Anolis sagrei: one gene and its partner. The protein of the gene in region 2 binds, or shares a complex with, the protein of the main gene of each other region. Links are inferred from orthologs where the notes say so. Each region holds a gene or a part of one and is shown on either strand. Other genes may lie near its edges.

Region 1 (15,634 bases), on a different chromosome or scaffold from region 2:
GGAGGGGCGCTGGAGGGGCGGGTGGGCGGGCGGACGCACCGTAGGTGGGCCACGAGCTCCTTCTCCTCCATGAGGAAGTCCAGGAGGACCTTGCTGGCGTAGCTGTAGGCCTTCTCGATCTGCTCCACGTACTCCCGCTCCTTCAGGGTGTAGATGACCTCCTTGGCCACCGGGCAGCTCACGTTCTGGCCACACTCCCGCACCACGTTCAGGTACTTCCCTGCACAGAAGGGAGGAGGGATCTATTTATTTGCTTATTTATTTACGCTATTTCTGCCCCGCCCATCTCAGCCCGAAGGCGACTTAGGGCGGCAAACAGTCGGCACAATTCGATGCCATATATAAAATACATACAACAATAACAATAAAGCATCCCATTACACTGTATCTAAAAACATCAAAACATTGAACAATAAAAATATTAAAACTACGTCGCCATGTCCAGTCCTCATCTGTCCTGTTGTCTTAGCCGTTCCCGGGTCATTTTCTGTTTCAAATTTGTCTAATTATGCTGAGGCTCAAAAAGCTTGCTCAAAGAGCCACGTTTTCAGGTTAGGAGGGAGGGGGCCGATCTAATATCCCTGGGCAGGGAGTTCCACATTTGAGGGGGCACCACAGAGAAGGCCCTGTCTCTCATCCACGCCAGACGTGCTTGTGAAGCAGGCGGGATCAAGAGCAGGGCCTCCTCGGACGATCTCAAGTCCCTGGTGGGTTCATAGGGAGGGATGTGTTCAGACAGCTAAGCTGGGCTGGAACCGTTTAGGGCTTTGAATTGTACCCGGTGGAGCCAGTGGAGCTGACACAGCAGCGGAGTTGTATGCTCCCTGAGTGCCGCTCCTGTTAGCAACCTGTCTACTGCTAGCTGGACCATTTGGAGCTTTTGAACAGTCTTCAAAGGCAGCCCCATGTAGAGCGTGTTGCTGTAGTCTATGCAGGACGTAACCAGAGCGTGGACTACCGTGGCCAAGTCAGACTTACCAAGATATGGGCACAGCTGGCACACAAGCTTTAACTGTGCAAAAGCTCCCCTGGCCACCACCAAGACCTGGGGTTCCAGGCTCAGCGATGAGTCCCGGCTCACTCCGAAGGAAGGAAGGAAGGAAGGAAGGAAGGAAGGAAGGAAGGAGTGCTGACCCCTGGACTCCCAGGGGAACCCGGAAAGCTGAAACCAAAGCCGGAGGGTGGCCCTGACCTGCACTGAGGATCTTGTCGGCCACCTTCTGCAGGAAGGAGGGGATCTGCTGCGGGACGAGGGTGTAGCGCTGGTCCCAGTACTTGTCGTTGTAATCCTCCTGGATCTTCTCCTTCTGCAGCTCGTGCTCCTCCACCATGAATTCACTGCCGGGGGGGGGGGGGGAGGGACACACACACACGACGACACCGGTGAGCAGGGGGCAGTGGCATTCCGGCCACAACAGGATCCCCTCCTGCCCTCAGACACACAACCAAGAAGCTGGACGGACTGAGCGGAGAAGGGAAGTGAGGACGAATGTGGAATGTATGGATTAGGAGTAAATGCTGAAGTATAAGTGAGGATGAACTGGATGAAGAAGGGTGGTGAGCACGAGTGAGTGAGTGCATGTGAGTGAATGTTACAGCATATGCGCTGCTCCCCCTTTTTTGTCTGTGTAACCACATTTTGTCTATATAAATAAACATGTAATGTCTGTTTGTGGGATTAACACAACTCAAAAACCACTGGACGAATGGACACCAAATTTGGACACAAGACACCTCTCAGGGCAATGAGTGACCACCACTCATTAAAAAATACTGAAAAACAGTGGAAGGGACTTAAAAAGCCGAAAAACAATACAATACATGACAACACATTACAACACATATGCAAAACCAAATATATACACAAACACACATATATACACATATACATAAATATATACACACACATGTATACACTTAAAAGACATATACACAGACTGGGCCACAGAACTCAGAAACCACTGGACGAATGGACACCAAATTTGGGCACAAGACACCTCTCGGGCCAATGAGTGACCATCACTCATAAAAACAATGAAAAACACAACAGGAGGGATTTAAAAAGCCAAAAAACACACAATACATTACAACACATATGCAAAACCACATATATACACAAACACACACATATAAGCATATACACGCACACAAAACACATATACACAGACTGGGCCACAGCAACACATGGCAGGGGACGGCTAGTAATCTAGATAATGTAATGTTGGTTTGTGGGATTAACATAACTCCAAAACCACTGGACGAATGGACCCCAAATTTGGACACAAGACACCTCTCGGGCCAATGAGTGACCATCACTGATAAACACACTGAAAAACACAGTAGAAGGCCAATAAACAATACAATACATTACAAAAAATATGCAAAACCACATATATACACAAACACACACATATATACACAGACTGGGCCACAGCAACATGTGGCAAGGGATGGCTAGTAGCTCTTATAAAACCCAGTGCTGAGTATGTGTGCCTGCTGCTCTCTCTCCCACTGAAGACAGATTAAAGAGCATTGTAAGGTTCAAATACTATTCCTCAGAGTGAGATCTGGGTGCCTGTCCCTCCCCCCTCCCCCCCGCCACGCCCTCCCCTTGCGCACCTGTAGGGATCGTTGATGAGTCCCCTGTAGATCCACTTCTCCAGGATCTCGAAGTAGGGGACGCTGGCGGCCTTGGTGAGGTAGAGGCAGAGCTCCTGGGCCTGGCTGTCCCCCGTGGAGCTGAAGGTCTTGTCGTGGAGCAGGCTCAGCGTGGCGCCCCCCACGCACTCCCCCCGGTCCACGGCCATCGCTGCGGCAACACGAAGGGAGGGTGAGGGAGGGAGGAAGGAAGGCAGGCGAGTGAGGAGACCCTCCCCTCTCCCTCCTCTCAAGGGGGGGGGGTCTGCAAGGGACCCAGGAGGAGAGAGGGGAGCCCCTCACCGATGGAGGCCAGGATCTCCATGGTGCGCATGGTGGGCTGGATGTAGAACCAGAGCTTCTGGAGGGAGAGGAGGCCCTGGCGCTGGAGGTGCTCCAGCTGGGTGACCAGGATCATGTACTCCTTGACCAGGGTCCGCATGGCGGCCGCCAGCGCGTGGTTCACTTGCCCGTACTCAAACGAGGCCTTCTCCTCAACAAACCTATATAAAAAGGGGGGAGCCAAGACACGTATGCCCCATGGGCAACGGCTCAACGAGTCCAACCTTAGGAAGGACTCCCTGCCTCACGGCTTCCCTTCCCCCCAGTGCCAGTGCGCGTACCTGGTCACCCCGGAGTAACTGGCGGCCACAGGGAGGATGCGCCCAACCAGCTCCTTGACGGACATGTCCAGGTTGGGGTCCACCAGGAAGGTCCGCCCCTCTTGGCCCACCAGTGGCTGGGCGGCAATGTACTGCCCGTCCACCCCGATCAGGACGTAGAGCAGGTCCTCCACCAGCGCTGACTCCTGCGCCGCCAGCGGGAGCGTGCCTGGAAGCGGGGGCGGGGGGGGGGCACAGTGGGCCTTGTTATTTGGGAGTCGCGGGTCAGGAAATGGACACCTTGGTAGAGGCCCTCCTTCCCTCCCTCCCTCCAGGAACCCACCGATGGGCACGATCGTGTCCGTGCTGAGGGCGGAGCCCGGGAGGAAGTCCCCGAGGAGGGCGGGGCGCTCGTAGACCCAGTCGGGGAAGGAGGGGAGGGGCTGCCCGGTGTTCTTCCGGCTCTGCTTCTCCCTCAGCTCCTTCCGCACCTGGTGCAGCGGCTGCAGGAGAGACAAGGCGAGTCTGACACGGCTGGAATACATGCCGACTCTGCAAGTGGGGTGCCGTGTGGCTTCCTGGCAGTGTGACCCTGTTCAAGCAGCACTTTCTCCTTTATTCACTTCACCCTGTGCCTGGTGCCTTCAAGGAAGCCCCAAGCAAACAGAGTGTATAATATCCCCCCTGTGGGGGTCTTCCGGCTCACCTTGGGCCGGTGGTGCTGGGGCCCGGAGGCGGCCACGCTGCCCAGCTGCTTGCGGAGCTCCTCCAGCTCCTGGGCCGTCATTTTCGGGGCTGAAGAAGAGGCGGAGGAGGCGGTGGCGGCAGAGGAGGCGATGCCGGGGCCGGCAACGGGAGCCGTGGCCACTGCAAGCTCGGCCCTCTCCTTGGCGTTCTGCTGCAGGAACTGGAGGGTCTGCGAGGGGAGAGAGAAGGGGAGGGTCGGGTCAGGCAGGGTCGCAGGAGGGAGGCTCCCCACGGCAAGCACGTCTCTCGGGAAATTGGGAAGGGGTCAATCCTGGTTACTCTCTATTTGAGAAGCGGGGTTTGAGAGTGCAGAATGAAACACAATACAATAGCTTTGTTGTCATGGTGCTGTTGCACAAAAAAATTAAATGTGTTTCCAAGCACACATCACAAAACAACACGCCCACCCCTCCACACCCCACCCACCACCACTCAGCCCCCAATGCCACATCAACGCGAAGCCATAGAGTTCAATGTAGTCACAGCTCTGCTTGTCCTTGCCTTTGTCACCCTGTGGCCTCAGCCCCATGGTTCTTAACTAGAAGTCATTTGTAAGTCGGGTGTTTGTAACTCTGAGGTTTGTAACTCTGTAGGGTATTGCCTGTCCAACAATAACCCCTCTCCCCGCACCCCACATGGCCACGGAGGCCCCTCCCCTTCTCTCCTTCAGTCTACTGCTGTCACTCACTCACTCGCTCACTCACTCACTCACCGGGGGGTCCCCCGCGAGGCGGGCGAGGAGGCCGAGCAGGGCGTCAAGGTGCCGCACGTTCTTGCCCTTCAGCTCCTCGTACTTCCGCAGGAAGGTCTCTGGGCAGCGGGAGCACTCCGCCAGCTTGGCCTGAGGAAACGGAGAGGGAAGGAGAAACAGGAAAGTGTTGCCCAAGGCTCCCATGGCCGGGATCACTGGGTTGTGTTTCAGGCTATATGTCCAGCAGCATTCTCCCCTGACATTTTGCCTGCATCTATGGCTGAAAGTGAAGCAAGTGGAGTATAGGGAGAGGGAGAGAGAGGTGGGAGGGGCCTGTGGTGGTGGGAGGGGCTGATGGGAGTATCAACATATATATATATATATATATATATATATATATATATATATATGGGGTGGGAGGGGCTTTTTTTTTTGTCGTGTCAGGACCAAGTCGCTCCTGGTGTGAGAGAATTGGCCGTCTGCAAGGACGTTGCCCAGGGGACGTTGCCCGGATGTTTTGATGTTTTATCATCCTTGTGGAAGGCTTCTCTTATGTCCCCGCATGAGGAGCTGGAGCTGATAGAGGGAGCTCATCCGCCTCTCCCCGGATTCGAACCTGGACCTGTTGGTTTAGCCCACTGTGCCACTGGGGACTCCATTAGTGGAGGGGCTGAAGGGAGGGGAGAGGGTTGGGGGAGCATCCACTGATTTATAATTATGGGTATATATGTGGGGTGGTGGGAGGGGTCTGGGGGAGTAGGAGGGGCTGATGGCCGCATCCATTGAGATATATTTATGTATGTGTATGTGTGGGGTAGTGGGAGGGGCTGAAGGGGGCTGTGAAGGGTGGGGCCTGGATGAGTGGGTGGAGCTGAGGGGAGAATCCATGGATTTATGTTTATGTCTATCTATGTAGGGCAGGGGAGGGGCTGAAGGGAGGGGAGGGGAAGGGGTCGGGGGAGCATCCCTTGAGTTATGTTTATGTGTGTGTGTGTGTGTATATATATATATATATAGGGTGGTGGGAGGGCCTTCAGGGAGGGGAGGGGCCTGGGGCCATGGGAGGGGTGAGGGCAGCGCTTCTTTCTCCACATCTGTGGGCCCCTCCCCCCCTCCCTCCCCCTCCCTCCCCCCCAGGGGTTTTGGCCTTCAACTCCCAGGAATCCGAACAGCTGGGGAAGTGGCTGGCTGGGGGTTCTGGGAGTTGTAGGCCAAGACCCCTGGGCGAGTGAGGGCGTCACAGGGCTTCCTCCCCCGCTCCCTCCCTCCCGGCCCGGACCCTGACCTTGGCGGCGGCGGCGTTGGCGGCGGAGGGTGCCGGGGCGTGTCCGTGCTGGGCGCGGCTCTTCTGGAGGAGCTCCACGAAGCCCTCGGCGCCCCCGCACCCGCCCCCGCCGGCCTCGCCCCGCAACAGCAGCAGACGCACAAGCTCGTCCACGTCGCGGTGCAGCCGGAACTCCGCCATGGCCGCCCGCCCGCCCGCCCGGGAGACGGAGACGGTGAGGAGGGGAAGGCCAGGCCCAGCTCCCGCTCGCTCGCCCCTTCCTGCCGTCTCCAGGCAACGAAAACCTGCTTCCTTCCGCTGAGGCCCGTTATGGCTCCTCCCCTTCCGCCTTAGCCGGAAGCCAAGGGGCGGAGCCTCCTTCAGGCCGAACCCTCCTGCGGCCAGCTATGGCGCAGTTTCGCTCCTCCCCTTCCGGCTTAACCGGAAGCCAAGGGGCGGGACCTCCCTCAGGCCAATCCTTCCTGCAGCTCTTTATGGCTCCTCCCCTTCCGGCTTAACCGGAAGCCAAGGGGCGGAGCCTCCCTGAGGGAAAGGGCAGCTGGGATGGAGAGTTAGTCTTCCTCGCTCCGCCTCTTCCGCTTCGGCCAGGAAGCCAAGGCAAAATGGCGGCAGCGGCGGCCAGCTCCGTCTCGGGGCCTTTCCGCTTCCGCCCGGCGCGGCTCCGCTTCCCGGCTCACCACCCCTTCTTCGAGGTGCCCGGATGTTGCGGAGGGAGGGAGGGAGGGGAAAGGAAGCCACGCCCCTTGCCGTGCGGTGCTCCTTCTCTGTCTTCCGGTGGAGGAGCCCGGCCCGGGAGGAAGGTTCCGCCCCGACTTTGAGGCCAAACGCCTTTCCAGATCAGAATGCCAGAGATGGAAGAAGAAGGCCCCTTCTGGGCAGGGAGGCACCACACGATCCCTCCCGGCAGATGCCCATCCAGCCTCGGAATAAATAATAATAATAATAATAGGAACCTTATAATAATAATAGTAATAATAATAATAGGAACCATAATATAATAATAGGAGTTATAATAATAATAATAATAATAATAATAATAATAATAGGAAGCATGATATAATAGTAATAATAAGAACCATAATATAATAAGAAAGCTCCAATTAGTCCAATGGGCGGCAGCCATGATACTAACAGGAGCGGGGCGCAGGGAGCACACAACTCCTCTGCTGCACCAGCTCCACTGGCTGCCGATCTGCTACCGGGCCCAATTCAAAGTGCTGGCTTTGGCCTTTAAAGCCCTAAACGGTTCTGGCCCAACTTATCCGAACGTATCTCAACCTATCAGCCCACCAGGACCCTAAGATCTTCTGGGGAGACCCTGCTCTCTATCCCGGCGGCTTCACAAGTGCGGCTGGCGGGAACGAGAGACAGGGCCTTTTCTGTGGTGGCCCCTCGGCTTTGGAACACCCTCCCCATAGAGGTACAATCAGCTTCTTCGCTGATGATGTTTCGGAAGAGACTGAAGACATGGATGTTTAAACAAGCATTCGGTTAATCCGTTGCAACGAATTTTGATGACTAAGGATTGGTAATCATGGACGACGAATTGGATTGCGATTTCAGTTACGAGATGCGTAGGATTTTTTATTGGTGGCCCAATAATTTGTACTGTAGATGTTGTTTTATGCTTTTAAATTGAATACTGTTTTTAAATGTTGTAAACCGCAATGAGTCGCCGACTTAGGCTGAGATATTAGCGGTATACAAGCGTATAAATAATAATAAGAAGAATAGGAAGCATAATGTGAAAATAATAACAATAATAAGAAACATAATAAAAGTAGCAATAATAATAGGAAGCATAATATAATAATAGTAATAATAATAATAATAGAAAGCATAATATAATAAGAAGAATAGGAAACATAATATGAGAATAATAATAATAATAATAGGAAGCATAATATAATAATTATAATAATAATAATAATATAATAATAATAGGAAGCATAACATAATATATGTTATCTCTTGCTGGATTAACTTTGGTTCGTGTACAAGGATTTTTTCATTTGTTGTGTGCCTTCGAAGTGGATGACTGTCTGTAATATTGATGTTGGAAACCGGCCTGAGTCCCTCGAACAGAGGTGAGAAGACCAGTGTACAAAACTGCTAAATAAATAAATAATATAATAATATTAATAGGAAGCATAATATAATAATAATAACATAATAATAATAATAATAATAGGAAGCATAAAATAATAATAATATAATAACAGGAAGCATAATATAATAATAATAGGAACCATACTATAAGAAGAAGAAGAAGAACCATGGACTGCTAGAAGGCCCCAAAGAAGACCCCTTATTCTGTCATGAAGGGAGGCCCCACAACCCCCTCCTTCCTTCCCTCCTCAGTCCTTGTCTCTCGGGTCTCTCTGGCCGCAGGAAGGCGATGTCCAGCGGCACCTGTCCCTCTGCCAGGCCACGCTGGCCCTCTCTGCAGCCCAAAGCGAGGAGGAGGAGGCCGAAGGTGGAGGAGGAGGAGGAGGAGAAGAGGCCCAGTTGGATGGGAGACGGTGAGTAAAGGGACAGGAGGAAGAGCAGACCCATAACCATTGTGTGTGTGTGTGGAGCCCCCGGTGATGCACCAGGTTAAACTGCTGAACTAGCTGACCAAAAAGTTGGTGGTTCGAATCCAGGGAGCGGGGTGAGCTCCTGCTGTCAGACCCAGCTTCTGCCCACCTAGCAGTTCAAAAACATGCAAATGTGAGTAGTCAGTAGGTAACGGCCTAGTGGGAAGGTAAAATCACTCAATGCTGTAAGTCATGCCCATGGCCACATGACCTTGGAGGTGTCTATGGACAACGCCGGCTTTTTGGCTTAGAAATGGAGATGAGCACCAGAGTCCCAGAGTCAGACACGACTGGACTTAATGTCAGGGGAAACCTCTACCGTTACTATATTATATATTGCATGCAATAATACTAATAATATTGTGGTATAGTGGTATAGTACAGTATAGAAATATATAATACTAATATGTGCAGTCATGCTGGCCACATGAACTTGGAGGTGTCTGCGGACAATGCTGGCTCTTCAGCTTAGAAATGGAGATGAGCAACACCCTTCACAGTCGGACACGACTAGGCTTAATGTCAGGGGAAACCTCTACCTTTACTTTATTATATATTGCATGCAATATTACTAATAATATTGTGGTATAGTGGTATAGTGCAATATATAATACTAATCCATGCAGTCATGCTGGCCACATGAACTTGGAGGTGTCTGCGGACAGTGCTGGCTCTTCAGCTTAGAAATGGAGATGAGCAACACCCTTCACAATCGGACACGACTAGGCTTAATGTCAGGGGAAACCTCTACCTTTACTTTATTATATATTGCATGCAATATTACTAATAATATTGTGGTATAGTGGTATAGTGCAATATATAATACTAATCCATGCAGTCATGCTGGCCACATGAACTTGGAGGTGTCTGCGGACAGTGCTGGCTCTTCAGCTTAGAAATGGAGATGAGCAACACCCTTCACAATCGGACACGACTAGGCTTAATGTCAGGGGAAACCTCTACCTTTACTTTATTATATATTGCATGCAATATTACTAATAATATTGTGGTATAGTGGTATAGTGCAATATATAATACTAATCCATGCAGTCATGCTGGCCACATGAACTTGGAGGTGTCTGCGGACAGTGCTGGCTCTTCAGCTTAGAAATGGAGATGAGCAACACCCTTCACAATCGGACACGACTAGGCTTAACGTCAGGGGAAACCTCTACCTTTACTATATTATATATTGCATGCAATATTACTAATAATATTGTGGTATAGTGGTATAGTACAGTATAGAAATATATAAGACTAATCCGTGCAGTCATGCTGGCCACATGACCTTGGAGGTGTCTGCGGACAGTGCTGGCTCTTGGGCTGAGAAATGGAGATGAACTCCAGAGTCCCAGAGTCACACACAACCAGAATGTCAGGGGAAAACCTTTACCTTTACTATATATACACAGGCTACCCCCAAGTTACAAACATCCGACTTACAAACAAAGTCTCTCCTTCCTTCCTTCCTTCCTTCCTTCCTTCCTTCCTTCCTTCCTTCCTTCCTTCCTTCCTAGGGCGGAGGTGCGTTGCCACTTCCAGGGCTGCGGGGAGGCCTTTGCCTCTTTGGAGGCCTTTGAGCACCACTACGACCTGCTCCACCGGGACGTCTGCTCCGCCTGCCGCCGGGCCTTCCCGTCTCGGCGCCTGCTGGACCTCCACCTCCTGGAGCAGCACGGGGCGGCCCTCTTCCAGCTCCAGGCCCAGCAGCGCAGCATGGTAGGAGCCCCGGGGTCAGGCAAAGTCATCACACAAGCCTGGGGCTGGTGGTCGGAGGATGCTTGGCTGCCTGTGCCTCTGCTCAGAGGGTTTTCCTTCCCTTCCTGTCCCTGTGATCATTGTATTTTGAGGGAATGGGGAAACCAGGACTCCTTTTGCAGCCAGGAGACTGACCACTGACCCTCCCTTTTCTCTCTTTCTCTCTCTCTCCCAGTTCCAGTGTTTGGTGGAGGGCTGCCCAGAGGCCTTCAGGAGCCCAGAGGACCGCAAGGAGCACCTGGTCACCACCCACTGCTACCCCCCAGACTTCCGCTTTGACAAGACCCCCAAACATGGAAGGTACTTGCCCACGGAGGGAGGGAGGGAGGCCCAATGGTTTCATCCCATTCACATAGCATTGTGCTGCTCTTCCATTGAGGCCTTGTGAGAAAGGTCTGGGGGTGAGGAAGAGAAGGCAAGAGGGGGGAGGGCCCGCCTGCCAGGGACAATTTTCCTGGGCCACTCCTGCCTTTCAAAGGGCGGCCACCATGTCGCTTTGGCCTCAACCCTCCTCTTCCGGCAGCAGAGCGAAGGCAAGGAAGCCCCAATCCGGGAAGGACGGCACTGCGCCCATGGAGGTGGCGGACCAAAAGGAAGGGGTGGTGGAGGAGGGGGCGATGCCCGTGGCGGATGCCATGGAAGAGGAGCCCAGGGGGTCCCTCCAGACCCAGAGGCAGGCGACACCTAGGGAGCGGCCCTTGAGATCCCGGTGAGTGGCTTCATCCTTTTCTGGGAGCCATTGTGGCAGATGGAAGGGGGCAATGGAAGTGGGGAGGGGGGGGGAATTGCCCCTTGCTTAACCCTTCAGTGGACGTGTGTGACCACATGTCTGTTAGAACTGTATTTCCACACAGTAATGCACAATGGAGTTACAGACCGGGGGTTGAGAAGGGCAGGGTATCAATATCTGAAATAATAAATAAATACTGTATATACTCGAATATAAGCCTGAATTTCCAGCCCTTTTTTGGGCTGATAAAGCTCCCCTCGGCATATCCTCAAGTCAAGGTTATTTATTATTTTACTCTATTATTATTATTATTATTATTATTATTATTATTATTATCCCACTCCCATAGCATTGTGCTGCTCTTCCATTGAGGCCTTGAGAGAAAGGTCTGGGGGTGAGGAAGAGAAGGCAAGAGGGGGTTATTATTACTATTATTACATTTATTACTTTACTCTATTATTGTTATTATTATTACATTTATAGGTTAACTTTATTATTTTTATTTTATTTTTATTACATTTTTGCCAATTGTTCTGGAATTTCTAAGAAATAAATACAGACGACTTTACATTAAATTAAATGTAAAATTACAAGAAACATAAAGGATAGAAGGGATTATAAGAAAACAACAAAAAAGAAAGAAAAAAATTCAGACATGTAATTAAAAACTTGGTAAACAGAACCTGGAAACAACTTGCAGGGAAAACTCTCTCTAAGTTGAGAAAGGGGGGGGGGGGGCTTTCTTTTCTTTTCTTTCTTTTTGTATTCTTTCATTACTTACATTACTTTTCTTTCTTCTATCAAGTTTCAAACTTTCTTTCATCTTCAGTTGTTCCACCACTTTCATTGTATGTTTTTTTGCAAACATCAGTTTTACTTTATGCAAAATTTCTTAATAAAAAGCATAAATTAAAAAAAAATGTCTGAAAGAAACACAGCTGAGGGCAACGGAGCAGCAAACAAGGCTCTGCATTGAGGAGGGAAATAGAGGCCGGCTCTGCATCCCTGCTGGAAGTAGATGGGGGGGGGGGGGTCCCCCAAGTGACCCCTCCTTCCTCTCTTACCAAGGGCCAGGGGAGTGGGATACATGCCTTTCTGGCGCGGGATCTGCTCACTTTCCAAGCAGGATTCTCTCCTTTCCAGGTTTGCTTGGGTGAGAAGCGGTCACCGGGGAGGGGGGCACTTGGGGCCGAGCCTTATTATTTATTTATTTCCTTACTTACTTTGCTTCTATACGGCTGTATCTCAAGCCCGAAGGCGACTCACAGCGGTTCACAAACAGTAAAAACAGTAGAAACAGCAGTGGTTCCATACAACATATAACAATTGACTTAACACATTATCCATAAATTACCAATAAGCCATTACAATGCACAATTATTACAAGAAACAACCGTACCCAACCTTCTCATCATCCAAGCGTAGTCCAGGTTCGCCGTCCATTGTTCCATTCCTATGTTCCATTCCCAGATTGCACTAAATTACTCAAACGCCTGCACAAACATCCAGCTCTTCACCTTTTTGTGGAATACCATTAGAGATGGTGCTAGTCTAATGTCCGTAGGAAGGGTGTTCCACAGCCGAGGAGCCACCACAGAGAAGGCCCTGTCTCTTGTCCCCGCCAGCCGTGCTTGTGAAGCAGGCGGGATCGAGAGCAGGGTCTCCCCGGAAGATCTCAAAGTCCTGGTGGGTTCATAGGCAGAGATGCGGTCAGATAGGTAGCTTGGGCCGGAACCGTTTAGGGCTTTAAAGGCCAACGCCAGCACTTTGAATTCAGCCCGGTAGCAGATCGGTAGCCAGTGGAGTTGGCGCAACAGGGGGGTTGTATGCTCCCTGCGCTCCGCTCCTGTTAAAATCATGGCTGCCGAGCGTTGGACTAGTTGGAGCTTCTGAGCTGTCTTCAAAGGCAACCCCACGTAGACCAGACCCCTCTCTCTCCTTGACCAGACCCCTCTCTCTCCTCTTGCTTTCCAGGGTCCCAGCCAGTATTTCCTTTGGGCAGGGAGCCCCCCGGGCCTTTGAGGGCAGGAGCAGCAGGAGGAAGAGGCCCTGAGCAGGAGGGCAGCCTGCCGGACAGTGCTCTCCCCCCCTCCCCTACTTTGGCCTTGGACGCGGTCAGGAGTGGCCCCCCTCCATCGGAGGGCAAGGGCCCGTCTCCTCAGGGATGTCCAGCAATAAAGCAGCATCCAGCCCATACAGTGGTGTTTCCAATCTATTCTGCACACCTGGAAGGAAACCCAGGACGCCAAAAAGGTATAAAGTCCTTATTTCCAACTGAATGTAAATGATAATAAATGTTATGTAAATAAAACTGACACGTGCACAGGATGCATGTGTTTACACTGCTGGCAAGACACTCTCGTCTGTTTATTGTTCAATCAAAATCTGCCCTCCTGAAACTAGATTTCTCTGCCTTTTTACTCTCTCAACTGAAGCTTTCTCTCCAGTCTTTGTTTCCACAACAAACCAAATCCAATTCTCACAGGGACAAAAACTTTGGGAATGTTTGTATTTGGGTCCAATATTTTTGGGCTTCTGCAAGACCACAATATGATAAAAATATCCCAGTATCGTGCTCGCATTTACAATTATTGTCGTTATGTATCTTAGAGTCTGCCTGGTATCAAATACCACTCTTTTTTCCAGTGTGAATTCTATGATGTTTATGTAGAGCTGAACTATGAGAGAATAATAATAATAATAATAATAATAATAATCCTTTATTTGTACCCCGCATCTACCATCTCCCGCAGGACTCGGTGCGGCTTACAAGAGGCCGAGCCCAAAGTACATCATCAACAAAAACACAACAGACAACAATACAATGCAACAATACATAAGCAAACAATAAAACAGTAACAAAGCACGACACTGTTAAAAACCTGTGGCAGGGCCAAATGTAATAGTTAAAATTCTAAAAATGCTGGGCATGTCCAGGTGAGGTAGGATGGATATTTGGGGAGTAGAAGGGTGTGCAGACAATTCTAACTCTCTCGTAAAGTGCATTAGGGACAATTGCTTGGGATTCCTTAATCTGGGAAGGCACACTGGAACATCCATGTTTTCAAGCTCCTTCTGAAGACTGCCAGTGTTGGGGAATGCCTGATGTCCTTGGGGAGTGAGTTCCAGAGTCGAGGGGCCACCACCGAGAAGGCCCTCTCCCTCGTCCCTACCAATCGTGCTTGCGATGCTGGTGGGATCGTGAGCAGGGCCTCTCCAGATGAACGAAGGGATCATGTGGGTTCGTATACGGAAATGCGGTCACGCAGGTAGGTGGGTCCCAAACCGTTTAGGGCTGGAAGCGCTTTCCACACTCCAGGCATTTATAGGGTTTTTCCCCAGTGTGAGTCCTTTGATGAGAAGCTTACAGGCTTTTCTAGGCCCTCCATCCTGGCTGCTAAAAGGTAAGGATTCTTTACAGAGGCATTCCTCATCTCTCCGGGCAATGAGTTCCAGAGTTGGGGGGCCACAGAGGAGAAGGCTCTCCCTTGTAGATTTCCACGGTGAGTGAAGCTCTTTCCACGCTCTAGGCATGTATAGGGTTTTTCTCCCCAGTGTGAGTCCTTTGGTGTGAATGTAGGTTTCCACTCCGAGTGAAGCTCTTTCCACACTCCTGGCACGTGTAGGGTTTCTCCCCAGTGTGAGTTCTATAATGGGAACAGAGACGTGAGATTTCAGAGAAGCTCTTTCCGCATTCTGTGCATTTACAGGGCTTTTCCCCAGTGTGAGTCCTTTGGTGTCTGTGGAGACTTCCACTCTGAGAGAAGCGCTTTCCACACTCCTGGCACGCGTAGGGTTTCTCCCCGGTGTGAGTTCTTTGGTGTGACTGTAGATCTCCGCTCTGAGAGAAGCGCTTTCCACACTCCAGGCACGTGTAGGGTTTCTCCTCAGTGTGAGTTCTATCATGAGAACTTTCAGAGAGGCTCTTTCCACACTCGGTGCACGCACAGGGTTTCCCCCCGGCATGACACCTTTGATGTGAACGTAGACTTCCACTCTCGGTGAAGCTCTTCCCGCACTCCCGGCACGTATAGGGCTTCTCCCCAGTGTGAGTCCTCTGATGTTTATACAAGTCTCCGCTCCGAGTGAAGCCCTTTCCGCACTCCAGGCACGTATAGGGTTTCTCCCCAGTGTGAGTCCTTTGATGGGAATGTAGGTCTCCGCTCTGAGCGAAGCCTTTCCCACACTCCTGGCACGTGTAGGGTTTCTCTCCAGTATGGGTTCTATAATGAGAATGTAGGTGCGAAGTTTCCGAGAAACTCTTTCCACACTCCAGACACGTATAGGGTTTCTCCCCAGTGTGAGTTCTTTTATGTTTGTGTAGACTTCCTCTCTGCGCAAAGCTCTTTCCGCACTCCTGGCACGTGTAGGGTTTCTCCCCAGTGTGAGTCCTTTCATGTAACTGTAGGTAATCCCTCCGAGTAAAGCTCTTTCCACACGCCAGGCATCTATAGGGCTTCTCCTCCATATTCACAGGGACATATATGGATGCTTGGGCCTTCTGTTTTCCTTTCTGATCCAAAGGGAGTTGGGTCATTCGTCACAATCAGGACCTTGGGAGGATTCTTCTTCCTACGGGACTCTTTCCTTGACTGTTCTTTTTGT
Region 2 (14,659 bases):
CCCGAAAAACCTACAACAACCCTGTGACGTCCCTTACATAAAGCTACAAAAGTCAAGGTTTGACTTTTGGCTTTAACTTTTTAAAAATATATATTGTCAAACCACTGGTGGTTAATTCTATGGGCACAAAATCCATAGATATGGAGGGGTGATTGTGCACCTTTTAACAGTTAAAAATAGCTAGAAGGATTGTTGGAAGGCTAAATATATGGATTCATATTGAAGAATAAATGTTACTATAATGATTCAACCTAAAAATATAATTTTATGTAGGGTGTTCAAATTGTTTTCCCCATGTAGCAATAAACTCCTTCCATGGTCAAACAATGAGCACAAAGTTCACTTAAAGTTTCTCTTGAAATTTTGCAACACTTCTCTATTATTGGAATCCCATTAAAGGTATATACATGGAGGAGAGGATATTGCAAATGGATATATATTCAGCATTATATGCTGTTAAAGGGGCACCTTATATTTCTACAGGCATCACTGTTGACAGAATAGAAAGCTGGGATGAAGTGCTGTACATTGGGGGGGGGGGGGCACCCTCTTTTCCTAGGGATATCACTCTTGACAGGATGGAGAGATAGGAAGGAGAGCTGGGACTGGAAGCTGTACAGGGCATTTCAAAATAATGGACCGAATTTCAAGGCAGTATATTTCATGATGGAAATATTTTACAATAACACAAAAAGTTACAAAAAGTTTAATGAATTATCAAGTTTTACTAACCATTTTGAATAAGAACCCAATAAAAAACAACTCTGCAAATAGAGAATACCTCATTAGACCTTTCGTTTCTGGGTACCCATTTTGAAAATGACTGAGGCTAGGGGCTGTTTGTGCGCATCTAGTAGTAATCCTTGGGAACTCTAAGCCTTGCCCTTTCAAGAGGAAACATTTTCATTCATGGGTGGTTTATAGTTGCAGAGTTATAATAATTTCAAATTGGGCTCATCTTTTTGAAACACTCTGTACTTTCTTGGGAGACACCCTGTTTTCCTGCAGCATCACTTGTGATGGGATGGAGAACTGCACAATTTATTTATTGGGGGGATACCTTATATTCTGAAGGGTATCAAACTTGAAAGCTGGGACAGTGATTGTACTTTTTTAGTGGACACCCTATATTCCTGCAGGAATTACTTTTGATAGGACAGAGAGTTGTTCCTTTTGGAGGAACAACATGCATTCCTAGGGATAGCGCTCTTTGCAGAAAAGAGCTGGGAGAGAGTTGTCTACTGGGGCAGCTGTATACCTGCAGCCATTACTCTTGACAGAATGGAGAGTGTACATTTGGGGGGGGGGGCATTCTGTATTATTGCAGAAATTACTTTTAGATGGGATGGAGAGCTGTGTATTTGCGGGGGGGGGGGGCTCTATATTCCTATAGGAATAACTGGGCAGGATGAAGAGATATGTATTGGGGTAGACTGTAATCCCGGGGATATCATTCTTGACATGGCGATGAGCTGGGGTGGAGAGCTGCACCTTTTTGGGGAATACGCTGTATTCCTGCAGGACATGCTTCTGATGGGATGGAGAAATGTATATTTGAGGGGTGGGGCACACTTTGTGTCCCTTGGGATATCACATTTGACAGGATAGATAGCTGGGATGGAGAACTGTCCATTTGGGGGAGGGGGGCTATACATCTCACCACACTAAAACAGTGGATGTGACTCTAAATGAGACATGCCGCATTAACACAGAGTGTCTGCGCTCTACACCACTGGAGAAATTACACTGCTTAGCCGGTATTGCACCACCTGACATCCACCGGGAAGTTGCAGCCAATAGTGAAAGGCCCAAGGCAGAGACATCTCCAGCTCATCCATTGTTTGGGTATCAGCCAGCACGTCAACGACTTAAATCAAGAAATCGTTTTCTTAGATCGACAGAGACACTCGCTGGAACACCTCAGCAAGCGAGAGTTCAAAAGTGGCAGGCTCAAACCCAGCACCTCAATCCATGGGTGATACCAGATGAGAGACTCTCCCCTGGGCACACAGAAGACTGGGTGACTTGGAAGGCACTGAACAGACTGCGCTCTGGCACCATGAGATGCAGAGCCAATCTTAAGAAATGGGGCTTAAAATACTTAAAAGCATATGATATAAGAGAAAATTGGTGGAAAATCTTTTTTAGATGGTATCTGACACCTTGTAAATTAAACAAATATTACAAAAACCTAAATTCAAGATGTTGGAAATGCGGAACAGTAGAAGGGACGCTGTACCATATGTGGTGGCAGTGTAAGAAAACAAAAAACTACTGGAAAGAAATACAAATTATATTACAGAAAATTTTGAAAATTAAGATACCCCTGAAACCGGAAATATTCTTATTAGGCATTACAAAAATTAAGATAGATAAAAATACAGATAAACTGCTATTTCTTGTGACAACAGCGGCCAGGATCTGTCTGGCAAAAGTCTGGAGGAAAAAAGGAAATACCTAAGATCGAGGATTGGAAAAGGAAAATGATGGATGTCAGAAATATGGACAGTCTAAGTTACATAATTCAAAGGAGTAAAGGAGTTGAAGAGACAAGAACAGATTGGACAAAATTTAAAGAATACCTGAAACTATGCAATTAATAGCAAATATAGAAAGACAGGCAGAAAGGCCTGGATACAGAAGAGTAATTACATAATAAGATTCCCAGTCAATTAGAATTGGAAAAACGAGACGAAGAAAGGAAAATGAAAGAAAGAAGAGGAGGAGGCCTCCCCCCTCACGAATCCTGGAAGTCGTATCGAAGGAAGAAAGAACTTTTTTCTTGAATCTTTTCTTTTAACTTTTCACTTTTTCTGTTTCTCACTTAAACTATTTTCTTTCCTCCCCTCCTATCCCTACCACGACACTTAGATACCCAGGATATCCCCTCCCTCCCCCTACGCTCCCTGGAAGGTTATCTTCCTTCCAACCGTTACCTATCCCTTTTCTATTCCTTTTCTACTTCCTCCTATATTTTCATACATCTTTATCTGATTAACTATGCTATCTATACTACTCTATTTTAATGTTTGTATTTCTAGAAAACTTCAATAAAGATTATATTTTTTTAAAAAAGAAATGGGGCTACAAAATGGAATCCTCGACATGCGAGTGTGGAGAAGAGCAAACCACTGACCACCTGCTGCAATGCAACCTGAGCCCTGCCACATGCACGATGGAGGACCTTCTTGCGGCAACACCAGAGGCACTCTAAGTGGTCAGATACTGGTCAAAGGACATTTAATCAGCTACCAAGTTTGCAAAATGTGTGGGTTTTTATCTGTTTGTTTGTTTTGTTCTGTTAGAAATGTAATACAATGTTCTGGTTGCGGATGACACGACAAATAAATAAATAAATAAATGGGATTAACTCTTGCTAGAATGAAGGGAGGGGAGCTGTACTACCAGGGATATCATTCTTGGTATGGTGAAGAGCTGGGGTGGAGAGCTGTACTTTTTTGGGGAAATACCCTGTAGACCTGCAGGACATGCTCCTGATGGGAGAGATGTACATTTGGAAGGGAAAGTCCTTGTATTCCTTGGGATATCACTCTTGACAGGATAGAGAGCTGGGATGGAGAATCGGCGTTCCTTTTTGATGGGATGGAAGGAGTTATGTAGAGAGGGCACTCTATATCCCTATTATATAGAGGGACAGGGCCTTCTCGGTGGTGGCCCCTCGGCTGTGGAATGCCCTACCTGTAGACATCAGACAGGCCCCTTTGCTGTTGGCGTTCCGGAGGAAGGTTAAGACTTGGCTTTGCGAACAAGCGTTTGGCTAAACAGTGCAACTGAATACAGGAAGATGGTACAATCGAACATAGGAAAATGGTACAAAGGATTATGAGAACGGATTCTGATTTGCTATTGAGGCGTTATGATAATGATTGTTTTTTGATTTTGTCTGTTATGTATAATGTGTTTTATTGCCCATGATACTGTTGTGATAACCTTTATTATGTAAACCGCTCTGAGTCGCCTAACGGGCTGAGAAAAGCGGTATAGAAATAAAGCAAATAAATAAATAAATAAATATTATGGGTGCTGTATTCCTGAAGCCACTGCTCTTGACAGAATGAAAAGTTTTCCATTTGGGTGGGGGGAGCTTCCTGAATTCCTGCAGGACATGCTCCTGATGAGATGGAGAGATGTACATTTGGGAGGACAAGTCCTAGTATTCCTAGGGATATCACTCTTGACAGGATAGGGAGCCGGGATGTAGAATGGTCTATTTGGGGGAAAGGAGGGGGCTGCATTCCTGCAGGCATTCCTTTTTGATGGGATGGAGAGCTGTGTAGAGAGGGCACTCTATATCCCTATTAAAGGTGCTCTATTCCTGCAACCATCACTCTTGATGAAATGGAGAGTTGTCCATTGGGGGAGAGGCATCCTTAATTCCTGCAGGATATGCTCCTGATGGGGTGGAGAGATGTACATTTGGGAGGACAAGTCCTAGTATTCCTAGGAATATCACTCTTGACAGGATAGGGAGCTGGGATGGAGGATGGTCCATTTGGGGGAAAGGAGGGGGCTCTATTCCTGCAAGCATTCCTTTCTGATGGGATGGAGAGCTATGTATAGAGGGCACTCTATTTCCCTATTAAGGGTGCTGTATTCCTGCAGCCATCACTCTTGACGAAATGGAGAGTAGTCCATTGGGGGGGGGGGGGGATCTTCCTGAATTCATGCAGGACATGCTCCTGATGGGATGGAGAGATTTACATTTAGGAGGACAAGTCCTAGCATTCCTAGGGATATCACTCTTGACAGGATAGGGAGCTGGGATGGAGAATGGTCCATTTGGGGGAGAGGAGGGGGCTCTATTCCTGCAGGCATTCCTTTTTGATGGGATGGAGAGCTGTGTAGAGAGGGCACTCTACTTCCCTATTAAGGGTGCTGTATTCCTGCAGCCATCACTCTTGGCGGAATGGAGAGTTGTCAATTTGGGGGGATTGGAGGACTTCCTGACTTCCTGCAGGCCATGCTCCTGATGGGATGGAGAGATGCACCTTGGGGTTGGGGTCAGCTTGTATTCCTGGGCCTGTCACTCACTCTTGAGAGCTGAGGTGGGAAGTCGCCCATGTGGAAGGCGGGGGAGACACCCTGTGTTGGGACGGAAAGCGGTGTATTTTGTGGGGACTGCCTAGCTAGAGGATGGAGAGCTGCCCACTTTGGGCGAGACTTCTGACGGGATGGAGAGATGTGCATGTGAGCAGGGGGGCGAGCACACACCCCATGCCTCCCCTCTTTCTGCGCGGGAAGAGGCGGGAAGGCCGGCCAGACCTCGGGCCTGGGAAGAGGAGGAGGAGGAGAAGGGGAGGGAGAGGCGGGGAGGCCGAGCGCGGTTACCTTCGCCTTTGCCGAGGATGCGGCAGCACAGGTTCTGGAGGAGGACGTTGGGCGACTTCTGGTCGGGGCTGGCCATCCCGGCCTCGGCGCCCCCGCTCACGGGCCCTCCCCGCTCCCGAGGCCCTCTCCCCGCCACGCTCAGCCCCTCACTTAGGGCGCCATTTTAGTGGAATCCGCCGAAAGATAGCGGGGTGAGGGGGGGGGGGAGACACAGGGGGAACGGCAACGGTTTTCAAACGCGGGCCCCCAGAATGCCCCGCAGCCCGGACGGTGTCACACCGAACACCGTCCGTGGCGCAACACTGGAGCTGCGGCGGAGAGGTTCCGGGGTACACACACACACTCATAGGCACAGCGGGAAGCGGCGTTTCCCTCTCTCTCTCCCGCGTCTCTCTCAACAAGAGGACATCCACCGAGCCAGAGGTCTTCCACGGAAAAAAGCCAAGGAGGATTCCTTCTCGGTCATCGCGTAGCCGCTCCGTTGCGCCACTAGACCAGGCGTGACGCCATCGCGGTTTAAATTCCAGGCGCGGGAACCGTGAGGTGAAGGCGGGAACCTTGGGGCCCTTCCACACAGGCCTCAATCCCAGAATATCAAGGCAAAAAATCCCACTTTTTCTGCTTTGAACTGGGATATAGGGCAGTGTGGACTCAGCTAAACCAGTTCAAAGCAGGTATTGTGGGATTTTCTGCCTTGATGTAGACCTGTGTGGAAGGGCCCTTCTACACTGCCCTTATATCCCAGGATGTGATCCCAGGGTATCTGCTTTGGACTTGATTATATGAGGTCTTTTCAACACAGCTGTATAACATCCACATTGAACTAGATTATCTGGCAGTGTGGACTCAGATAACCCAGTTCAAATCAGATATGGTGGATTTTTTGCCTTGATATTGGCAGTGTGGAAGGGCCCTAAGGCCCCTTCCACATAGCTGAATAAAATTCCACATTATCTGCTTTGAACTGGTATATGTGGCAGTGTGGACTCAGATAACCCGGTTCAAAGCTAATATTGTGAGATTTTCTGCCTTGATCTTCTGGGTTATATGGCTGTGTGGAAGGACCCTGAGTCTCCACTGCCATTTAATCTGCAATAAACAGATAATCTGTTGGCCCTTTCACACAGCTACAGGGTGAGGCAGCATAACTTCCTTTTTTCAAAACTTAATAAAACCCATTGTATGAATCAGAATTTTTTTATATATATATATTGTAGGCGCATACCTAAAGTTTTGTTTTACGTAGTTTTGAAGATCAAATTAGGTAGGTGACGTCCCCCATTCTCCATACACTGAGTAAATCGATTTCTGGCATTTGTCATGACTCTTGCCAGCATAGCAGGCGTTATGTTGGCAATTTCTTCCTGGATGTTGGTCTTCAAATCTTGTAGGGTCCTTGGACGGTTCACATAAACACGGGATTTCAAAAAAAAAAACCCATAGAAAAAAATCACAAGGGGCCAAATCTGGAGAGCGGGCCGGCCACTCCAAATCCACTCGAAAAGTAGGCCTCAACGGCAAAAGCACACTCCTCACTGTTCCAATGCATGATGGCTGCTGAACTGTGTCAGGACAAAACTTTATACTCCCGCCTCTCGAACGAGACCACTAGCGCTCCGCTACATCTTCAACCAACTAAATGGCGCGCATTTTAAAAAAGGAAATTATGTGCCTCACCCTGTATATAAAATCCCACATTATTTGCTTTGAACTGGAATATATGGCCGTGCGGATTCAGATAACCCAGTTCAAAGCAGATACTGTGGATGATCTGCCTTGATATTCTAGGTTATATGGCTGATTGTTGTGGTTTTAAGCCATGGGAAAGTTTTCATGCAGTTTTACACAACTTGAACTGCTATAGCTCAAGCTAAGAAGTCATAGGAGTTGTCGTTTCACAGTGTGCCTCACCAGACCCAAGACCGAGCCCTTGCATAGAGCCCTGGCAGTTCAAATGCTGTCAAATTGCATTGATTCTACAGTGTCAGAAACCCAACTGGAATTTCTTGTGGATTGTACTCAACTAGGCTGGATCTACACTGCCCTATATCTCAGGATCTGATCCCAGATTATCTGCTTTGGACTGGATTATATGAGTCTACACTTCCAAATAATCTGAGATCTGATCCTGGAATATAGGGAAGTGTAGATCTAGCCACAGATGAATCTTACAGCCTGTGCAGTCAATATCAGTTCTTCCAGCCATTGATTAGCATTATTGCACTTAATTCTTTATTGGGAGCCTTTCCTCTGTTAGGCATAGTTTGTTTCTTTAATGATTAACAGTATTCTAGAGTCTTTTACCAATATCTAGAGTCTTTTACCAATATGACCAAATAAAATTCAACTACATATTGGATGAAGTAGAAATCAGTGGGCCCTTGTTATCCATTGAGGTCTGGCTCCAGGATTCTCCAAGATTTCTGAAAAATGATGTCAAGTGTTTCTATGACCATAAGACCCCTCCTACACTGTCATATAAAATCCAGATTATCAGCTTTGAACTGGATTATATGGCAGTATAGACTTAGATAATCCAGTTCAAAGCAGACAATGTGGGTTATCAGCTTTGATAATCTGGATTATATGACAGTGTAGAAGGGGCCTATCAAGCAGGGGATAGAAAGAGAGAGGTGGGCAGGCAGAGAAGCCAATGGGGGAAGGGCTTTTCCCTGCCAGGCAACTCATCTGAATGTTATCCAAGTCCTTAATGAGGACTGCAAACTTGTGGTTCAGTTCCAAAATCTACCTAGTGTTTCCTTAACCTTGGTGAAAACTAGCATTCCTGGATTCCAAGACTTCTGTGAAAACCCATATTCAAGGTTTCACTTACCCACATGCAGGGAATGTGCTTGGTCCTCCAGATGATCCTATGGCATCCTTTTCCCAGATATTACTACAGAGTCACTCAGGTGGACCTAGAAAATTCCTAAAATGTGCCTTTGTAGGAATATCTAGGGGGTCTTCCACACTGCCCTATATCCCAGAATATCAAGGCAGAAAATCCCACATTATCTGGGTGTGGACTCAGATAACCCAGTTCAATGCATACATTGTGGGATTTTTCCTTTATATTCTGGGATATAGGGCTGTATGGAAGAGCCCTAGTCTAAAACTGGAAGTCAGGTAATGTAATAGTGTTGAGTCATGCCTGTGGTTTTTGGTAACTGTGGTCTGGCCAGAAATGTATGCCACATGGATAAAGTTAGACCTACTGTTCTCTTCTTATATAGGCCTTTTATCAGCATCTGTTGCTCAAATCAATAATTAAAGACAACATTTGGATAGTGTTTCTGTTTAAACACTGCCAAATATATCTTTAAGCATTCAAAAGTGTGGGTGCTAGCAAAGAAGAACTGAAAATGGGATTTTTCTAATATTGGACCTTCATGGGAAATAGTTCTAATAAACTAACATAGTGCCTTGAAAATATAAGGTGTTTGAAGGATTTTGAGAAAACATGTTGCACCTTAAAACAGAGATGGAAACATTGTCCTGGAAAGAGATGAATCAGTTGCCCTTGTCAGCACTGCCAGGTTTGAAAGAGTCCAGGAAACAAGTGGGTCTTTTCTATTGCCCCCAGACTAATTGTATTATGAATATGTTATTATAAAATTTTATAAAATTATAAAAAATATAAAATTAATGCATCAATATTTTAATTGGATTGACTACAAATGCTTTTGTTATCACATAGTGTTTTAACTATTTTTTACTTATATTATAAGCCACTCTGAGCTCCATTTTGGATTCTAAGTGAAATATAAATAAAATAAAATTGAGCCCCCAAATCCAGCACTAATGTAATCACTGCCAAAACATATAAATGAGTTATTGACGATGCATCACGTGGCCTTCATTTGTGGAGCATTTGGGAAACTTGTAATGAGAAAAAAGCTAATGAGTATAGAAATTATAGCAATTTCTTTAGAATTCTCATAGCAATCTTCGTGGAGCTGCAATTCAATTAAAGAAATGGAAGAACAAAGAAGAGTGGATATGTGAATGCTTGCAAAGAACACTGACTGTACATGATGAGTGAAAGCACTGCTAAGTGTTTATGGGAAGAGTCTTCGGATTAGCTATATAAAGAGTAGAAACAGAGGTCAATAGCCATAGAGTATCAGAGGCCAGCATGTGCCATAGAATGAATGGAATGAATTATTCTGTATCTAGAGTAGAATTTCTTATATTTTTATGAATGAGATTCAAGGAAGAAAGGGTATACCTGTTACTGTCCCAGTTGCCAAATCTGCTCCCTGACATATTATTTTCTCCCCAGTATTTTTATCTACTCTCCAGGGGGTCTGATGCTTTCAAGCAATATATAAGAAATCTCAGTGTACAAGAAGGAGATGCATTGGTAGCGTCAATACATTCTTAAATAAAAGTGAGAAAAGCAGTCGAGATAAAAGATTCACTAGGAGGAAGGTGAGATGCTGTTACCTTGCTAGGTAAACTTCCTTAGGCCCCTTCTACACTGCCATATATAATACAGATTATCTGCTTTAAACTGGATTATATGGCAGTGTAGACTCATATAATCCTGTTCAAAGCAGATGGTGTGGAATAACTGATTTCATAATCTGGATTATATGGCAGTGTAGAAGGAGCCTTAATGGAAGTAACTCAGCTCATGAATAACTAGTCCATGACTACCCTAAAAGCTTGTATAGTGTAATGTATATGTTGGACAATATATGAAGCCACTTTTCCACAGCATTCATTCAATCAAGGATAGTGGCTACTTACTGGGATGATCCCTCCTGCTATCATAACTCTCCATCATGCAACTCCAACAATTCAGCAATCTGTGGTCCCATGGCCATACTTCCAGTTAATAGTATAACTCCACTTTTTTTGCAGTTCCACTGCTCCATAATTAAAAATAATATTTTTGCAAAAACAACTTCACAATTCCTGTGTAAGTTTGTAAAAATAAGTTACATTTTAAACTATGAATTACTGCAAGGTGGAGTGAGGAGAGTGGGAGAGCAGAGCCTCAAGCGAATTGGATTTATTGCATGTGATAAATGATGGGACCATGATATGATCAGTGGTTGTTGACGGGATAGGTTAGTCACCAAAAAACCGACCCTTTAAGAAGGGTCAGTTTTTGTAATCCTTTTAATCTCAGTATATGTTTTAACTGTCACATACCTCCTTGTCCATCAGTGATGTCCTTTTGAATTTTATTAATATGTTTATGTGGTTTTATGATTTAATTATTGTGTGATTTAAGTTTGATTTGGTTGTATGTTTATTATTACTATAGTGTGTTTTTTTCTGTTGTAAACCATCCTGAGTCCTTTTGGGGAGTGGGGGTGGGATATAAATAAAGTTTATTGTTTTTGTTGTTGTTTTTGTTGTTATTGTTGTTACTGTTATCACAGAGAGGTGAGAGGTGACAGTCCAGTAATGGCTGTGTGCAGAGTTGTACAATAGATCACTAGAGATGACAGTCATGCCTCAATGTCAGTTTGCCAGTTTCACACAATAAAGTCCTCTGAAACTGGGAGACAAGGCTTTGAATACCCACTCAACCATGGAGGGATTTCTCAATCAAAGAGGCAATTGCAAGTCTGAATAAACTTTGCAAAGAAAATCCTGTGATAGGGTCTCCGTAAGTCAGATTCCACTTGAAGACACAAAACACCAAACAATAAAGATAGACTCCAGACTAAGTATTGATTTATATGCTTTATACAAGGATTGTAATTGTAGCTCTCCAGATGATTCTGACCTATGACTCCTGTGTGTCTAGCAGTATAGCTAATGGGGGAGAATCATAAAAGTTATAGTACAAAACATCTTGGCACAGTAGTGGGCTAAACCTTTTTGGAGGTAGGAACTATGTTCTCTGTTATGACAAAACAAAGGAGACTGAAAATGGAATATCTAAATAATTTCACTGTGATACCTCACTGCTGTAATCATTGTGATATTAAGCTCAATAGAGACCGCACATGAGAGCTAGGCCCCTTCTACACTGCCATATATAATCCAGATTATCTGCTTTGAACTGGATAATATTGCAGTATACACTCATATAAACCAAAGCAGATAATGTAGATTATATGGCAATGTAGAAGGAGCGGTAGTCTTTCTTTCAAATACTGCTGGATTACAATTCCCAGCAAACCAAGACAGCATAATCAATGTAACGAATGTGGAGAACTACAATCAAATGACATCTGCAAGACTTGCCTTATTCTCAGCCCTGTACTAAAATGTGGTGAATATTGTGGAGCCAGGGTTCATAAAGCTGAAGACCCAGAATGCTTTGAATAGCAAGGTTGACATAATCTGTTGACATTGCCCATTGGCTCCAATTCACTCTGAGTTTAGCTGCTATCCCATAGTAGTTGGAGCAAAAATACCATATTTTAGCAATTCAAAGACACAATTGATTCTAAGGGTGCTTCCAGGTGGTGTCAAAATGCGGGACAAATAAGGGGCAAAAATTGTAGGACCTGAGAGCAAGTCCAAACAGACCTGTCAGAAATGGTTTCCTGCCATCCTGACACCTTCCTTTGTAGCGGATTTTATAAATTCGCAAGATGGACAGGACATCCAGCGGAAGATTTCTTTCTTTTTAATTGACTCTCTGCGATGCACTGGACCTCATATGTGCTCATGTGGATATCTAAATGTACACACAAGCAGATTTCTTATTATCTCTCCTCACCTTACTGTAAATTCAAGCTCTGTTTAATTTCATAAAGATCAGAACAAATGAATATTTGCAGAGAGTTCTTGTGGGAATTGGTTTCCATTTGAGCTTCATTTTAGCCACCTATGTGCTTGGGGCTCCTTTGTTTACAGTCCAGATCAACTGTTTCAGGATTTTAAAATGTGCACATGTGCTGAAGCAGTCCACACCAGGGTATAGAAACGAAATCACGTATTTTCCTTGAGTACAGGAGTGTTCAGTCTTACGAATATACACATTTTTCATTGAAATCAGGTTTAAAGTGAACCTTTAAAACATTTTTTCAACTTGTTATCCGGATCTGCACCCATTTTCGGGAAATGTCATTTAGCAGCCACCCCTCTTTTATCCTGGTTTCTTCATGTTTTAGGATATGTGTAGAAGGGCCCTAAAATGCACACTAATTTCAGCACCACCAACCGAAAAAAAAAAATCTAAGACATCCAATTTATCCAAATGTTTATATGGGAAAAATGCATCTTAGAATCAATGAACTATAATACTTATCAATCTATTCTAATCCAAAATATTTGGGCAACAGTTTGTTATTTGAGTAGACAAAATCCATTAAATTTACCCCCCCCCCCCAAAAAAAAAAGGCAGCTGGTAGGCATGCACATATTCTTACTATGGGAGCTGTAATAATAAGTACCTAAACCTCAACATTTACTCTTATGTCCTAGGGAGAGATTTTAGGTAGCAAAGAGTTTTCTTCCTTCTGGGCTATCGGTCAATGCAAAGTAGTTCTTCAATACAGAAATGTATGTAGCTGCTTCAGAGTTCACTTCAACAAGCAAGAGACCAGAGCCGTATTCATCCCACATTACCATAATTTGAGGGCCCTTCCATACAGCCCTATATCCCAGAATATCAAGACGGAAAATCCCAGAATATTTGCTTTGAACTGGGTTATCTAAGTCCACACTCAGATAATGTGGGATTTTCTGCCTTGATATTCTGGGATATAGAGTTGTGTGGAAGGGCCCTAAGAGAAAGAAAAAAGACTTGTCATTTGGCCCCACCATATCCTTATGACTTGCAGCTCTAAGAACATAGGGGCTGCATGTCTATGACAATACAGTTGTGCTCATATAGGAGAGGTTCTGCTCATCTGCACAGTTTTGACTCAGAATATCAAGACTAACTCATTTGGGAAGCCAATAGAATTGACTCCCCAATGCATTGAGGGTTGTGGGGGTAGGCAATAAAACTGCAGATCATATAGGGGCACTATCTGACTCTCCCTCTGTGAGATCCTAGGCTATGATGTTGAGCTATAGGTATTTCGTTTGAGAATCATGTCACATGAGTCATAAGTCATTTACAGTCACTCTCTTTCTCTGCTCTCTGTATAAGTATAGTGGTGATGAAATTGCAGGGCATTTAAGAGCAAGCTAATCTATGATAGCTCATTGTGGAAAGCAGAAGTACCTATAGGGAAGAAAGGGGATGCATGTGGCAGTGTGTATTCTATGAGGCATTTGCCACCAAAATAAGGAGTGTATGCTTGAGTCATAAATAATTACAGCTTTCCATTGGCATGGAGGCAGAGTAAGGCAGATCTCACTGTTCATCCTGGCAAAGTATTCCAGGAGATGAGAATGGGCTAAACATTTGCTTTCCTGTAAGAATATGTCCACCCAAATGGAAGAAGTGAGTATGAGTATTTTCACATCAATTTTCATTTCTGCATTTTCCAGGCTTCTAAAAAGTAGTTGGTTTGTATCTAGAAGAGCTGTATCTTCTCTATTCTCATGAACTGTTCAGTAAAAGCTTTTGCCTTTTCTCACCTTTTGGATCCAGCAGACATGCATAGACACTTTTAGTCTTGGGAACTTTATCTGAAATCTTGTGGGCATTGTTTATGCTAGTTTATTTGTGCTACAAAAACCTGTAGCTTCAATTAGCCATCAATGAAATCCTTTTTTACATATCAGTGGCTCGCACCAGACTTCGTATCAAATAAATCTCCTTGAGGGGCCTAAATTGTGTTTAGACCCAAGGGAAAACACTGCCAGGCCATACTCAAGATCAGATTGATCATCTGTCTTCCAAGATGATTATTCAAGTCACTTTTCTATCTATATGAATAGCATGTAGGGGATATCTTCCACTTTGGATCCCTTCTTTCAAGCCACCATCTTTACACTGCAAACATGAAGCAAGACCTTTCATAGAACCCCACAATGCCTTGTGAACAGAAAATGCAGTCCATATCATAAGTCTTGGGGTGGAATGTCAAAGAGTTTATACACTTAGTATAAGATTGATCACTGTATTACTACTCCTCTGGAGCTAATACATAATGAGTTACTCCAGCTGTAGGACACATTGGAAATAGTTTGTTGTGAAAGTCAGGGTATAAATCAATGCTTCAAGATTTAGTTGATCTTCCCCTTTTTACAAGATGAGCCCTGAATGAGCTGCCTCTTATCAATGCCACTTGGCTGTACCTTGAACATAGGATGTTGAGTGCATAGCTATGAAGACAGAGAGTATAAAAGAACCTTATTCTCTGTGCTGTAGCAAACAATAATGGTAATTTATTCTTTGTGAACTGTTATTAATTATTATTGGCCAACCCATACTTGAATATTG

The links.
Region 1: the proteins of TUBGCP3 (region 2) and TUBGCP2 are in contact, whole or in part, in a cryo-EM structure (PDB 8Q62), measured with the Homo sapiens proteins. The link is inferred for Anolis sagrei from reciprocal best matches to the Homo sapiens genes TUBGCP3 and TUBGCP2. Residues at the interface, in NP_006313.1 of Homo sapiens: Glu272, Asn273, Cys274, Ser286, Leu287, Asp289, Thr290, Val292, Arg293, Glu296, Trp299, Ser361, Thr363, Leu364, Arg365, Leu368, Val369, Tyr372, Lys375, Ile376, Lys379, Ala382, Ala383, Asp386, His387, Ala402, Tyr403, Lys405, Thr406, Gly407; in NP_006650.1 of Homo sapiens: Gln172, His173, Pro175, Ile176, Phe177, Pro178, Trp180, Arg184, Ala186, Leu187, Ile188, Gly189, Phe191, Leu222, Tyr223, Val226, Val228, Asp229, Gly230, Arg231, Glu278, Ser281, Phe283, Gln287, His290, Ala291, Ala294, Arg297, Val300, Lys301.

What each region holds. Positions count from the first base shown.
Region 1 is NC_090032.1:192,195-207,828, reverse strand, and holds the start of TUBGCP2 (gamma-tubulin complex component 2), read right to left. Parts: upstream 6,279-15,634; 5' UTR 6,143-6,278; coding exon 5,963-6,142; intron 4,828-5,962; coding exon 4,699-4,827; intron 4,156-4,698; coding exon 3,946-4,155; intron 3,743-3,945; coding exon 3,583-3,742; intron 3,469-3,582; coding exon 3,261-3,468; intron 3,141-3,260; coding exon 2,941-3,140; intron 2,810-2,940; coding exon 2,620-2,809; intron 1,339-2,619; coding exon 1,193-1,338; intron 221-1,192; coding exon 40-220; intron 1-39. Other genes in the region: ZNF511 (zinc finger protein 511), read left to right, coding at 6,565-6,654, 8,354-8,484, 10,059-10,260, 10,475-10,599, 10,823-11,008, 13,004-13,082; oocyte zinc finger protein XlCOF6-like, read right to left, coding at 14,556-15,566. UniProt on the Homo sapiens protein: Component of the gamma-tubulin ring complex (gTuRC) which mediates microtubule nucleation.
Region 2 is NC_090023.1:109,014,496-109,029,154, reverse strand, and holds the start of TUBGCP3 (gamma-tubulin complex component 3), read right to left. Parts: upstream 5,640-14,659; 5' UTR 5,426-5,639; coding exon 5,350-5,425; intron 1-5,349. UniProt on the Homo sapiens protein: Component of the gamma-tubulin ring complex (gTuRC) which mediates microtubule nucleation.